2 linked regions of the Arabidopsis thaliana genome follow. The protein of the gene in region 1 interacts with the protein of each later gene in a pairwise test. Each region holds a gene or a part of one and is shown in the gene's direction. Other genes may lie near its edges. The genes, in order: EMB3101 and CJD1.

Region 1 (4,552 bases):
TCCATTGCTCTACCTATCAACATTTGGCCAAAGCCGAGATTTCTCTCATGGCCTCAACATAAAGCCATTGCACTCTCTCCAAATTTCACTATCCTTGCCCCTGAACACCAATACCTTTCGGCCTCTGTAACACGGTATCACAACCTGATCCGTTCTGAGAATTACTCGCCTCTCATTAGCTATCCTGTCAAACTTATGAAAAGATACACCTTGAGGAACCTTGTAGTCACTGTTACCGATTTTTCTCTTCCGCTTCACCACGGTGTTGATGAGTCTTACAAACTCTCCATCCCCATTGGCAGCTTCTCCGCGCACTTGTTAGCTCATTCGGCTTGGGGAGCTATGCGTGGCCTTGAGACATTCTCTCAGATGATTTGGGGAACATCTCCTGATTTGTGCTTACCCGTTGGAATTTATATTCAGGATTCTCCTCTGTTTGGCCATAGAGGTGTTTTGCTCGATACATCGAGGAATTACTATGGAGTAGATGATATAATGAGGACTATTAAGGCCATGAGTGCAAACAAACTCAATGTGTTCCATTGGCATATCACTGATTCACAATCTTTTCCACTGGTGCTTCCTTCTGAACCTTCACTTGCTGCAAAAGGATCTCTTGGACCAGACATGGTATACACTCCCGAGGATGTCTCAAAGATTGTTCAGTATGGTTTTGAGCATGGTGTTAGAGTACTTCCTGAAATAGACACTCCTGGTAAGTCCATTCTTGATTTTCTCTTGCACAAGAACTTAGCTTGGTTCTAATAGATACTGTTAAAACTCCACAGGTCATACAGGATCATGGGGAGAAGCTTACCCGGAAATTGTGACATGTGCCAATATGTTCTGGTGGCCTGCTGGAAAAAGTTGGGAAGAGCGGTTAGCTAGTGAACCTGGGACTGGTCAGCTTAACCCTTTGAGTCCTAAAACATATGAAGTTGTTAAAAACGTCATACAAGATATCGTTAATCAATTTCCAGAATCTTTCTTTCATGGAGGTGGAGATGAAGTTATCCCAGGCTGTTGGAAAACCGATCCTGCCATCAATTCTTTCTTGTCCTCTGGTGGAACACTAAGCCAGCTTCTTGAAAAGTACATAAACTCGACATTACCTTACATCGTGTCACAGAACCGCACAGTTGTTTACTGGGAAGATGTTCTGTTGGATGCACAAATCAAGGCGGATCCATCTGTTCTTCCTAAAGAGCACACAATCTTACAGACTTGGAATAACGGTCCGGAGAACACAAAGAGAATCGTAGCTGCTGGTTACAGAGTAATTGTCTCTTCATCAGAGTTCTACTACTTAGACTGTGGTCACGGCGGGTTTCTAGGGAATGATAGTATATATGATCAGAAAGAAAGCGGTGGCGGGTCTTGGTGTGCACCATTTAAGACGTGGCAGAGCATATACAACTATGATATAGCTGATGGTTTGCTCAATGAGGAAGAGAGGAAGCTGGTGCTAGGAGGAGAGGTTGCATTGTGGTCAGAGCAAGCTGACTCGACGGTTTTAGACTCACGTCTTTGGCCACGTGCCTCTGCGTTGGCGGAGAGCTTGTGGTCAGGGAATAGAGACGAGAGAGGTGTTAAGAGATGTGGTGAAGCCGTGGACCGTTTAAACCTGTGGAGGTATAGGATGGTTAAGAGAGGGATTGGAGCTGAACCTATCCAACCATTGTGGTGTTTGAAGAATCCTGGAATGTGTAATACAGTCCATGGTGCTCTTCAAGATCAATAAAAACAGATAGTTTCGAAATTGGATCCGAGTCAAAGAAAGCATAAACATGCTCTTGATCAGGCTCTTTTGATTGTTGTATACATACTTTGCTTTGTAGTTGTGGGTTGTAATTCTCAAATCCTGAAGTATGCGGGGTATTTTGTATGAATAGTTGAAAGTTATGGGGCAAAAATGGAAAGTTTCTTTATTTACCGTACTACGAAACAATTATCACAACCTCTTCCAAAGTCTCTGCCTTTACGAGACTGAACTTGAAGAAGAGACCCCTAAAATCCGATACTGAAATCTCCAGGTTATTGAAAAATCACAACTTTGAAAAGTTAGATGGCGAAATTTGTTTAATTTGAAATGATTTTGGTTTCTAGGGTTTAGACTGTTGACTCGTGTTCTTATCATCTTTAAGCTGACGAGGCGAGATTGATTGTGCAGGAAATCTGATTCCTTGATGTGACCTGAAGAGATTTCTGAGTTATCATGAGTGTTGTTAGATGGCCAAGAGTTCTAACGCCAAGTCTTCTTTCTCAAATCCTAAAGAAGCAGAAGAATCCAGTGACAGCACTTAAGCTTTTTGAGGAAGCGAAAGAGAGGTTTCCGAGTTACGGTCACAATGGCTCGGTGTATGCTACCATGATTGACATTCTCGGTAAATCTAACCGTGTGTTGGAAATGAAATATGTCATTGAGAGAATGAAGGAAGATTCTTGTGAATGTAAAGATTCGGTTTTTGCATCGGTTATTCGTACATTCTCCAGAGCTGGAAGGCTGGAAGATGCTATTTCTCTCTTCAAGAGCCTTCATGAGTTCAATTGTGTGAATTGGAGTCTATCTTTCGATACTCTTTTACAGGAGATGGTTAAAGAATCCGAGCTCGAAGCTGCTTGTCATATCTTCAGAAAGTATTGTTATGGTTGGGAGGTGAATTCTCGAATAACGGCTCTGAATTTGCTTATGAAGGTTCTTTGCCAGGTCAATCGCTCTGACCTTGCGTCTCAGGTTTTTCAAGAGATGAATTACCAGGGTTGTTATCCGGACAGAGACAGTTACAGGATTTTGATGAAGGGGTTTTGTCTAGAGGGGAAACTTGAGGAAGCCACTCACCTGTTGTATTCAATGTTCTGGAGGATCTCACAGAAAGGTTCAGGTGAGGACATTGTGGTTTATAGAATTCTATTGGATGCATTATGTGATGCTGGTGAGGTTGATGATGCTATTGAAATTCTTGGTAAAATCTTGAGAAAAGGATTAAAGGCTCCGAAACGATGTTACCATCATATTGAAGCTGGTCACTGGGAGAGTAGCAGTGAGGGTATAGAGCGGGTGAAACGATTGTTAACCGAGACTTTGATCCGAGGTGCAATTCCCTGTTTGGATAGCTATAGTGCCATGGCTACTGATCTTTTTGAGGAAGGTAAGCTTGTTGAAGGTGAAGAGGTGCTCCTTGCAATGCGAAGCAAAGGCTTTGAGCCTACACCATTTATTTATGGTGCCAAGGTTAAAGCACTCTGTAGAGCCGGGAAGCTTAAAGAAGCAGTTTCTGTAATCAATAAGGAGATGATGCAAGGTCATTGCCTTCCAACAGTTGGAGTGTATAACGTTCTTATAAAAGGTCTATGCGATGATGGAAAATCCATGGAGGCTGTTGGATATCTCAAAAAGATGTCTAAGCAAGTTTCTTGTGTAGCGAACGAAGAAACATATCAAACTCTAGTGGATGGTCTGTGTCGAGATGGTCAATTTCTTGAGGCGAGTCAGGTCATGGAGGAGATGTTGATAAAATCACACTTTCCTGGTGTCGAAACTTACCATATGATGATAAAAGGTCTTTGTGATATGGACCGGCGATATGAAGCTGTGATGTGGTTGGAAGAGATGGTTAGTCAGGATATGGTACCGGAATCTTCTGTGTGGAAAGCTTTGGCTGAGTCTGTCTGCTTTTGTGCCATTGATGTTGTTGAGATACTTGAGCATCTAATTAGTAGCAAACGTTAATCATATAACTAACTACCTGCTTGATCTGTGAAACTTTACAAAGTTTGATGATGCTATGTGAGTGAGAGCAACATTCTATTGTAAAAGTTTTTGTGAAATGTAATTGTTTCAATTAGTAACAGGTTTGTTGACCATATTAATTTCATTCCTTGGTGACATGTAATAGAAATGTTTTATTTTACATTGAAAAATGATGGATTTTGTAAAATAGGAAAAAAATCAGAGGATGGAGTCGTTCGGGATCACTGCGTTTCGAAGTATGATAATGATTCCTTCTCTTATTACGTATCCTTGAGCTTCTCGGTTTCCTTCTTCAACATTGTCTCTGTTGATTATCTGTGAATTGTATTTATCAAGAGAAAAAAATATTTATATATATATATAACCTATAGAAATTGAATTTTGTAAGTTGAAATCCATGTAGTTACCATAACGTTTTTACCAATCCTGGCATTTTTATCAACAATGGCTCGTCTTATTCGACTCTTTTCACCGATCCCTATTCGAATCTCTATCTTCTTCTCCTTCCCTTTTCTTCTCACATCTTCTTCCATCTTTAAAACACATTTCGTGACCAAAAAATATTGTTTTAAAACTTTATAATATGGTATTAATTAGTCTAATTTCGATCCAAGAAACCTGGTTTACCTCATAAATATCAGAACCGACAATGATCGAATCCTCTACAATCACTTCATCAGCGATTCTTGTTCTCATTCCAACCACCGATCCTCTGATGACACATTTCTGCACATACAAGAAGATGACGAAATTCTTCAAGCTTTTGATTAACAACGGCTGCTAGGGTTTCAAGGATTTGAA
Region 2 (5,591 bases), 1.1 Mb from region 1:
ACTCCTCCATACTTGTTAGATAAAAAACCACCGAGAGAGATGATAAGCTATCACTTGACACTTATTTATTTCTCCGAGAGAATCTTCTAGATGAATCTCTCCTCTGTTTCTCCTGCTCTTTGGATCCATGGGTGCCCTGCAACAAAACAAAATTACAAAATACCAAATTTAGTTCACTTTATCATTAAACCAACCTACTAAAAAATGGATTAGTGTGGATAAGATAACATTATCTGTTAAAAATAGATGAAATTTATTGACATTAAAAATTCAACAGAGAAACAGATCTGATGGTTTTAGAATCTTACTTAATGCTTGTTCGGCTGAGAATCTTCTAGAAGCATCTTTGCATATCAATTTCCTTAGGAAATCTTTAGCCATAGATGAAACCCCCCGGAATATCTTCGTCGGAAAACGGAGATTTCCTCTGAGTACCGCTTCGAATATCTCTTCAGCTGTCTCGCCGTAAAACGGTGGAGTTCCAGCGAGCATCGTGTACAAAACGACGCCGGCGCTCCATAGATCGACCTTCTCTCCGTAAGAATATCCCATTAAAACCTCCGGCGCCACGTAATACGGCGTTCCGACGACTCCTTCGGTGGTCTCTCCCTCACCTAACCAAATCCCTGAACCGAAATCGCAGATCTTAACCGTATCGTTTCGTAGATCTACCAGAATGTTCTCCGGTTTAATATCCCTGTGAACGACGCCGTATCGGTGACAATGCGAAAGCGCCTGGAGAATCTGTTTAGCGAACGACGCCGTCTGAGGCTCAAAGAAGGTTCCAGAAGAGACGAGACGGTCGTAGATCGAAACAGAGGGATGGACGAGCTCCATGAAGATGGAGAGAGTCGAATCAGTGTCGATGAGATCATGGATTTGAACGATGTTAGGGTGATAGGACAAGAGAGCCATGAGCTTAGGCTCGTTGTCGAGACAGGCACGGTCAAGGTCGTCGGAGAGAGAGGCTTTGTCGATGGTTTTGCAAGCGAAGAAATCACCGGTGGCCGGAGCGTAGACGCGAGAGACGGTGCCGAAACGGCCACGGCCGATCTCCTCGCAGATCTGGTATTTGTTGGTGTTGTTGTTTCCGAGTGTTTGGCTGCAAGTCATAATATCACTTTCTTAATATTTTTTGTTTTGTGTTGGTTCTTGTGTGAGTTAAGAAGACCTCTTGAGTCGGCTCTACCTTTTTTTATAGCCAAAACTCTTGAGAATATTCCTTTTGATGCCTACATGTTTTTTTTTTCTACTAGTATTTTCCTTTTCCTTAACGTTATATCTTTTTTGTTTTTATTTTGTTTTAAATAGGATTTTAGATATTATTTCCCAATCCAAATCTATTTTTTTGTTTTGTTAGAAGTTTACTTGGAGAAGGTTTGTACTTTGTAATGTCTTTTCTTATCTTATTATATACAATTTTACTTTCTAACAGTTCTTTATTATCTATTTGGTTTGTTCTTTGAAATGATAATTACTTGGTGGTAGTCTAAAATTCACATTTAAGTTTATTATCAAATGTACTACACAATTACAATCCTCTCTAAATTACAGAAAAACATTCTCAACAGATCCAGATTTGTTAAGATAAAATATTGGATCTACAATTTAATATGTTTCCAGAAAAAGTTCATAAATTGATAATGCACAATCTAGTGAAAAAGAGGTAGGAAATCCAACCCCAATTTATGCAAAAACATTTCCAAATTGAATGTGAGTACTAAACGATTTCTTGGACGAGATTGAAATCTGAAAAAGAGATAAGAAAAGTGTGGCATGTTTGGATTGGAATTGGGAGATAATCCCTGCAAGTAAGTAAACCAGAGATCCCACGAAAACAAACTAATAAAGACACTGGATTGGGCCGATAAATCAGTTGGGCTGAAGAAAGCAGGCCGTCTTTATTATTACCTAATTCGTTCACGATGGAGGTCGAACCGAGAATATCCCCCTCCGGAGGCGAGCGCCTTATCCATTGGGCCACGCGAACTATTGGTCAGGCCTCAGTTTTTAGCCTTAACAAACTATTGAGTATTGAATGATTAGCTTCCAAACATCAATCACCAACCTTCTAGTTTCCTTTTAACCCTACTAGAGCTCTGCTCTGCCATGGCTCCCGCACTATCTACTTCTTGCTCCTCCGTCATGGCTTTCTCAACATCAAACGCGCTTCGTTACCATCATCCTCAAATTTCTCTCAGGAACTCTCTTCGCGCTCCCAAATCGCCTTCTTTTGTCAGGTACTTTCTCTTGATGCTGCTTTTTTGTTTTCCACTTCTCTTCGGTGGCTTTAAAGTCGAAGAATCATCGTTTGATAGTTCTTTTTGTTGTGTAAACTTACGGATTTTGTGGGTAACCGTTATCTTCTTCCTTCATAAACATTGTCAATTGAATTCCGACGGCTTAATTCGTGGATGAGCTTCTTACTGTTGCCTATAAAGTTTACAACTTTCAATTGCACTTAAGAGAGTTCCATTGTTGTGCTTATCAGACCATTTGGTACACGTTATCATTGTAATGAGGATGATTGAAATTCTCAGGCTTCCCCTCGGAAAGGTGTTACAGAGCAGGATTGTGATACGTGCTGCTTCGTCTGCGGCTGGTAATCCACAGTCTGATGCTGACTTTAATCCGTATGAGGTAATTGATCGTTAGAGCCCTATAAAGGACTTGTTTTGTTGGTCGTTGTGTATTTCTCATGACATGAGTGTGTGTACCTTCTCAGGTTCTTGGTGTTAACCCTATAGAGGGATTTGACAAGATCAAGCAAACTTATGGAAGGAAACTTAAAGATGCTCAGAGGAGCGGTGATGAAGCCACTGCTGCTCTAGTAAGTTACGTTACCTCTCTCTTTCTTTGGAGTCCTGTAAGTGATTTTTTTTTTTTTTTTTTCTTGTTAACACGTCTCTGTTTTACCTTTTGATAGCTTGAGAAGGCATATGATAAGCTCATGTATGCCCAGTTGATGAATAGGAAAAAGGGTGTGACTTTTGGTTCGTTTAAGGTGTGTATCGTATCCTCTTTCTTGTCATATGCTGTCTTGAACTCTATGACCTTTCTTTCTCAATCCTTGGTGAATTTTTCATAATTCAGGTTTCCAAGGACATTAAATATGCTGATAAGCAGCCCATTATACCATGGGGTCCAAGGTAGAGATTCTTTATGAGTCTACTCGCATTATTAATTTTCATCATTCAAAAGCAGGATCTGTTACTACTCATGATTTACCCTTGTTGTTACAGGTTTTCCAGGTCCTCCAAGAATGATATGTTGATCAACCTAGCAATATCAGTTGTGTTTGTAAGTAGTTTTTAAGAAATATGAGGTTTGCTATTATTAGAAATGTCAGTTTTTTTTTTTTTTTTATCTGTACCCTTTATGAATCAAGACATCATGCATAAATGACTGAATTCTTGCAGAAAAAGTGACTTGTTTCTTACACATTTATGCATATATGACATTTCAAGTACAATCAGATATGAGCCTCTCCCACTCTTTCTGTTTCTTTCTTTTGCAGAGTGCATGGATTGCGATAAAACGTAATGTTGAATACAAACCGCTGCAGTTCATGTCTTTTGTATTTGTTTACAGAATTTTTGAGAAATTAAAATCCTTTGAAGCACCTTCATCTCCAATATATAACGTGAGTTTTGAATTTTTTTGAAGCCTTATGTTTTGATGTCCGTACACTTAGTGGCTCTTTTAATCCTGATGTGCACTGATGTTTGACACTGGCTGCAGGAGGAAGGCGAAGAAAGTGGACGGGGATTGAGAATGGGAAAGAGGCTTCTTCGTTCTCTTTCCTTAGTTTTTGGCTCTATACTCTTAGCATCTTTGGTATGCATATCCATCAAGACTCCGTTATTTTAAAGAATCCGTTTTATGTTGCACCATCTAGTATTAGGTTTATTCAAAGAGAGCGGCATATGTGATATAAATGTGTCCAAGCGTTATTTTATGGATGCTCCTGATTGTTTGATCTAGTTATTAGATATGTCAGGAGTTCTTTTAATTGTGTATACCTATGTTTAACTCTCAGTGAACAATGTTTTGCAGGCATACACTGGGTTCTTAAATGGCATCGAGTACATGGGCTACTCCATACCCATGGTTCTTTACAACAACCAGGTTGTTTTTTTTGCATAACTTACATCTCTCTTCGCTTGAAACCTTCTCTTAACTAGTCCCACACAAAATGATCATTTTGATCAAAAAATGGTTTAGGATATTTAGGTCAATTGTTGGCTAAGCCTCAATGAACAGCACTAGTTGATTAGGTTGTAGATGATTGTGCTGTTTGTTTTGATTTGTGACATCTATAGGTATAAGAAGTACTTGTACTGAAATAAAAACTAAATGCACAAGTATTAGGTATGAATTGGGAACACATGAGTTGGATATGTGTTGCCACAATTGCTGAATTAAGATATAGCAAAGAGAAGGGTCTGGTCTGTAAATTAAATAGTTCCATAAGTGATATCAGTCAACCAGGCTTTTGATGATGTAACAAGAACTGACTGAACAGTGCTAATTCGGTTGCAGGAACTTATAGTGACGGCGTCATCGGCTTTCATGCTCTATGTTATAGCGTCGTTTTACAGATAATGCGAGAGTCCACAGGAGAATTGGTCAGTTAGAAGCTTTTGGAGAAGTTATGCTGTATTATAGGATGTTGCTGGGAGATGAAAAGTTTATTTTCTACAGAGAGATGGGGTTATCTTTATAACCTTTCTTTTGTGTGGAAAATCAAGTAAATTTTGCAAGAGAGAAATCCCTTAGAATCTAAGTCTTGTCTATTTACGTTTAATGCTGAGGATCGCATGTGGAAGGTTTTTTAATTTTTGTATTGGAGCAATAATATGCGTGAAGTGAAAAATCTTGAGATACCTTGAAAGTATCAGTCGTACACACAATTGAAGCGTTACGAAGATGAGAAACGTTATCAACCTTGTTAAAACACAACTGTGGAGAGTTTAGAATTGATGATAGATGAAAAGTTATAGGGATCAAAATAGAGAGCTAATATCTTTGGTGTGGTGGCGAGAAAAATCATCTGAAAAGATGTTTCATAGATTTGAGGTACGAATCTGATTGGTTGGGTTAGATAAAGGTCAGGTCAGGTGGCTAAGACTGAATTCGACTGTCATCAAAAAGGAGTGTCCACTACGGTCAGCAAAAGAAAAAGGACTATGTAGGTGAAGTGAATCCGATGGGAAATAAAACAAATGTGATAGAGAGAGAACAGAGACGCCAATTATGAGTAGAGCTGACACGTTGGAGCTGACTCTGTCTCTATCTCTATATCTCTGTCTTTCTCTATTTATAGATGGAGTACGTACAGCTGCTCCACACTATATATACAGTACATACTTTGAAAAGTATATTTGAGTTACGTCTTCAACTTCAAAGCGTTTCTTACTACTAAAGTGGTACGTTTCCCTAATTCGCTCTCATTTTCCATCTTCTTCTTCTCCTTCTTTTGAAAACACACACACAAGTTCGATTTATTTTCTTAGAATCAATGTGGTAACCATATTTCTAGATGACATATCTTGCCTAATGCTTCAATTAATTGGAGACATGATGAATTT

Evidence for each region.
Region 2: the proteins of EMB3101 (region 1) and CJD1 interact in a two-hybrid assay, tested with the Arabidopsis thaliana proteins (one study listed by BioGRID).

What each region holds. Positions count from the first base shown.
Region 1 is NC_003070.9:1,669,946-1,674,497, forward strand, and holds EMB3101 (Tetratricopeptide repeat (TPR)-like superfamily protein), read left to right. Parts: upstream 1-1,970; 5' UTR 1,971-2,033; intron 2,034-2,153; exon of another isoform or gene 2,154-2,170; 5' UTR 2,171-2,215; coding exon 2,216-3,730; 3' UTR 3,731-3,902; downstream 3,903-4,552. Other genes in the region: HEXO2 (beta-hexosaminidase 2), read left to right, coding at 1-715, 789-1,741; APS2 (ADP-glucose pyrophosphorylase small subunit 2), read right to left, coding at 3,950-4,066, 4,159-4,284, 4,379-4,477.
Region 2 is NC_003070.9:2,747,728-2,753,318, reverse strand, and holds CJD1 (Chloroplast J-like domain 1), read left to right. Parts: upstream 1-1,698; 5' UTR 1,699-2,109; coding exon 2,110-2,240; intron 2,241-2,540; coding exon 2,541-2,640; intron 2,641-2,725; coding exon 2,726-2,830; intron 2,831-2,926; coding exon 2,927-3,004; intron 3,005-3,093; coding exon 3,094-3,149; intron 3,150-3,242; coding exon 3,243-3,300; intron 3,301-3,517; coding exon 3,518-3,643; intron 3,644-3,741; coding exon 3,742-3,837; intron 3,838-4,056; coding exon 4,057-4,128; intron 4,129-4,542; coding exon 4,543-4,605; 3' UTR 4,606-4,958; downstream 4,959-5,591. Other genes in the region: PPCK1 (phosphoenolpyruvate carboxylase kinase 1), read right to left, coding at 87-136, 309-1,113; AT1G08645 (uncharacterized protein), read left to right, coding at 724-1,068, 1,312-1,377, 1,489-1,506. UniProt on the Arabidopsis thaliana protein: Probably involved in the regulation of the fatty acid metabolic process in chloroplasts, especially chloroplastic galactolipids monogalactosyldiacylglycerol (MGDG) and digalactosyldiacylglycerol (DGDG).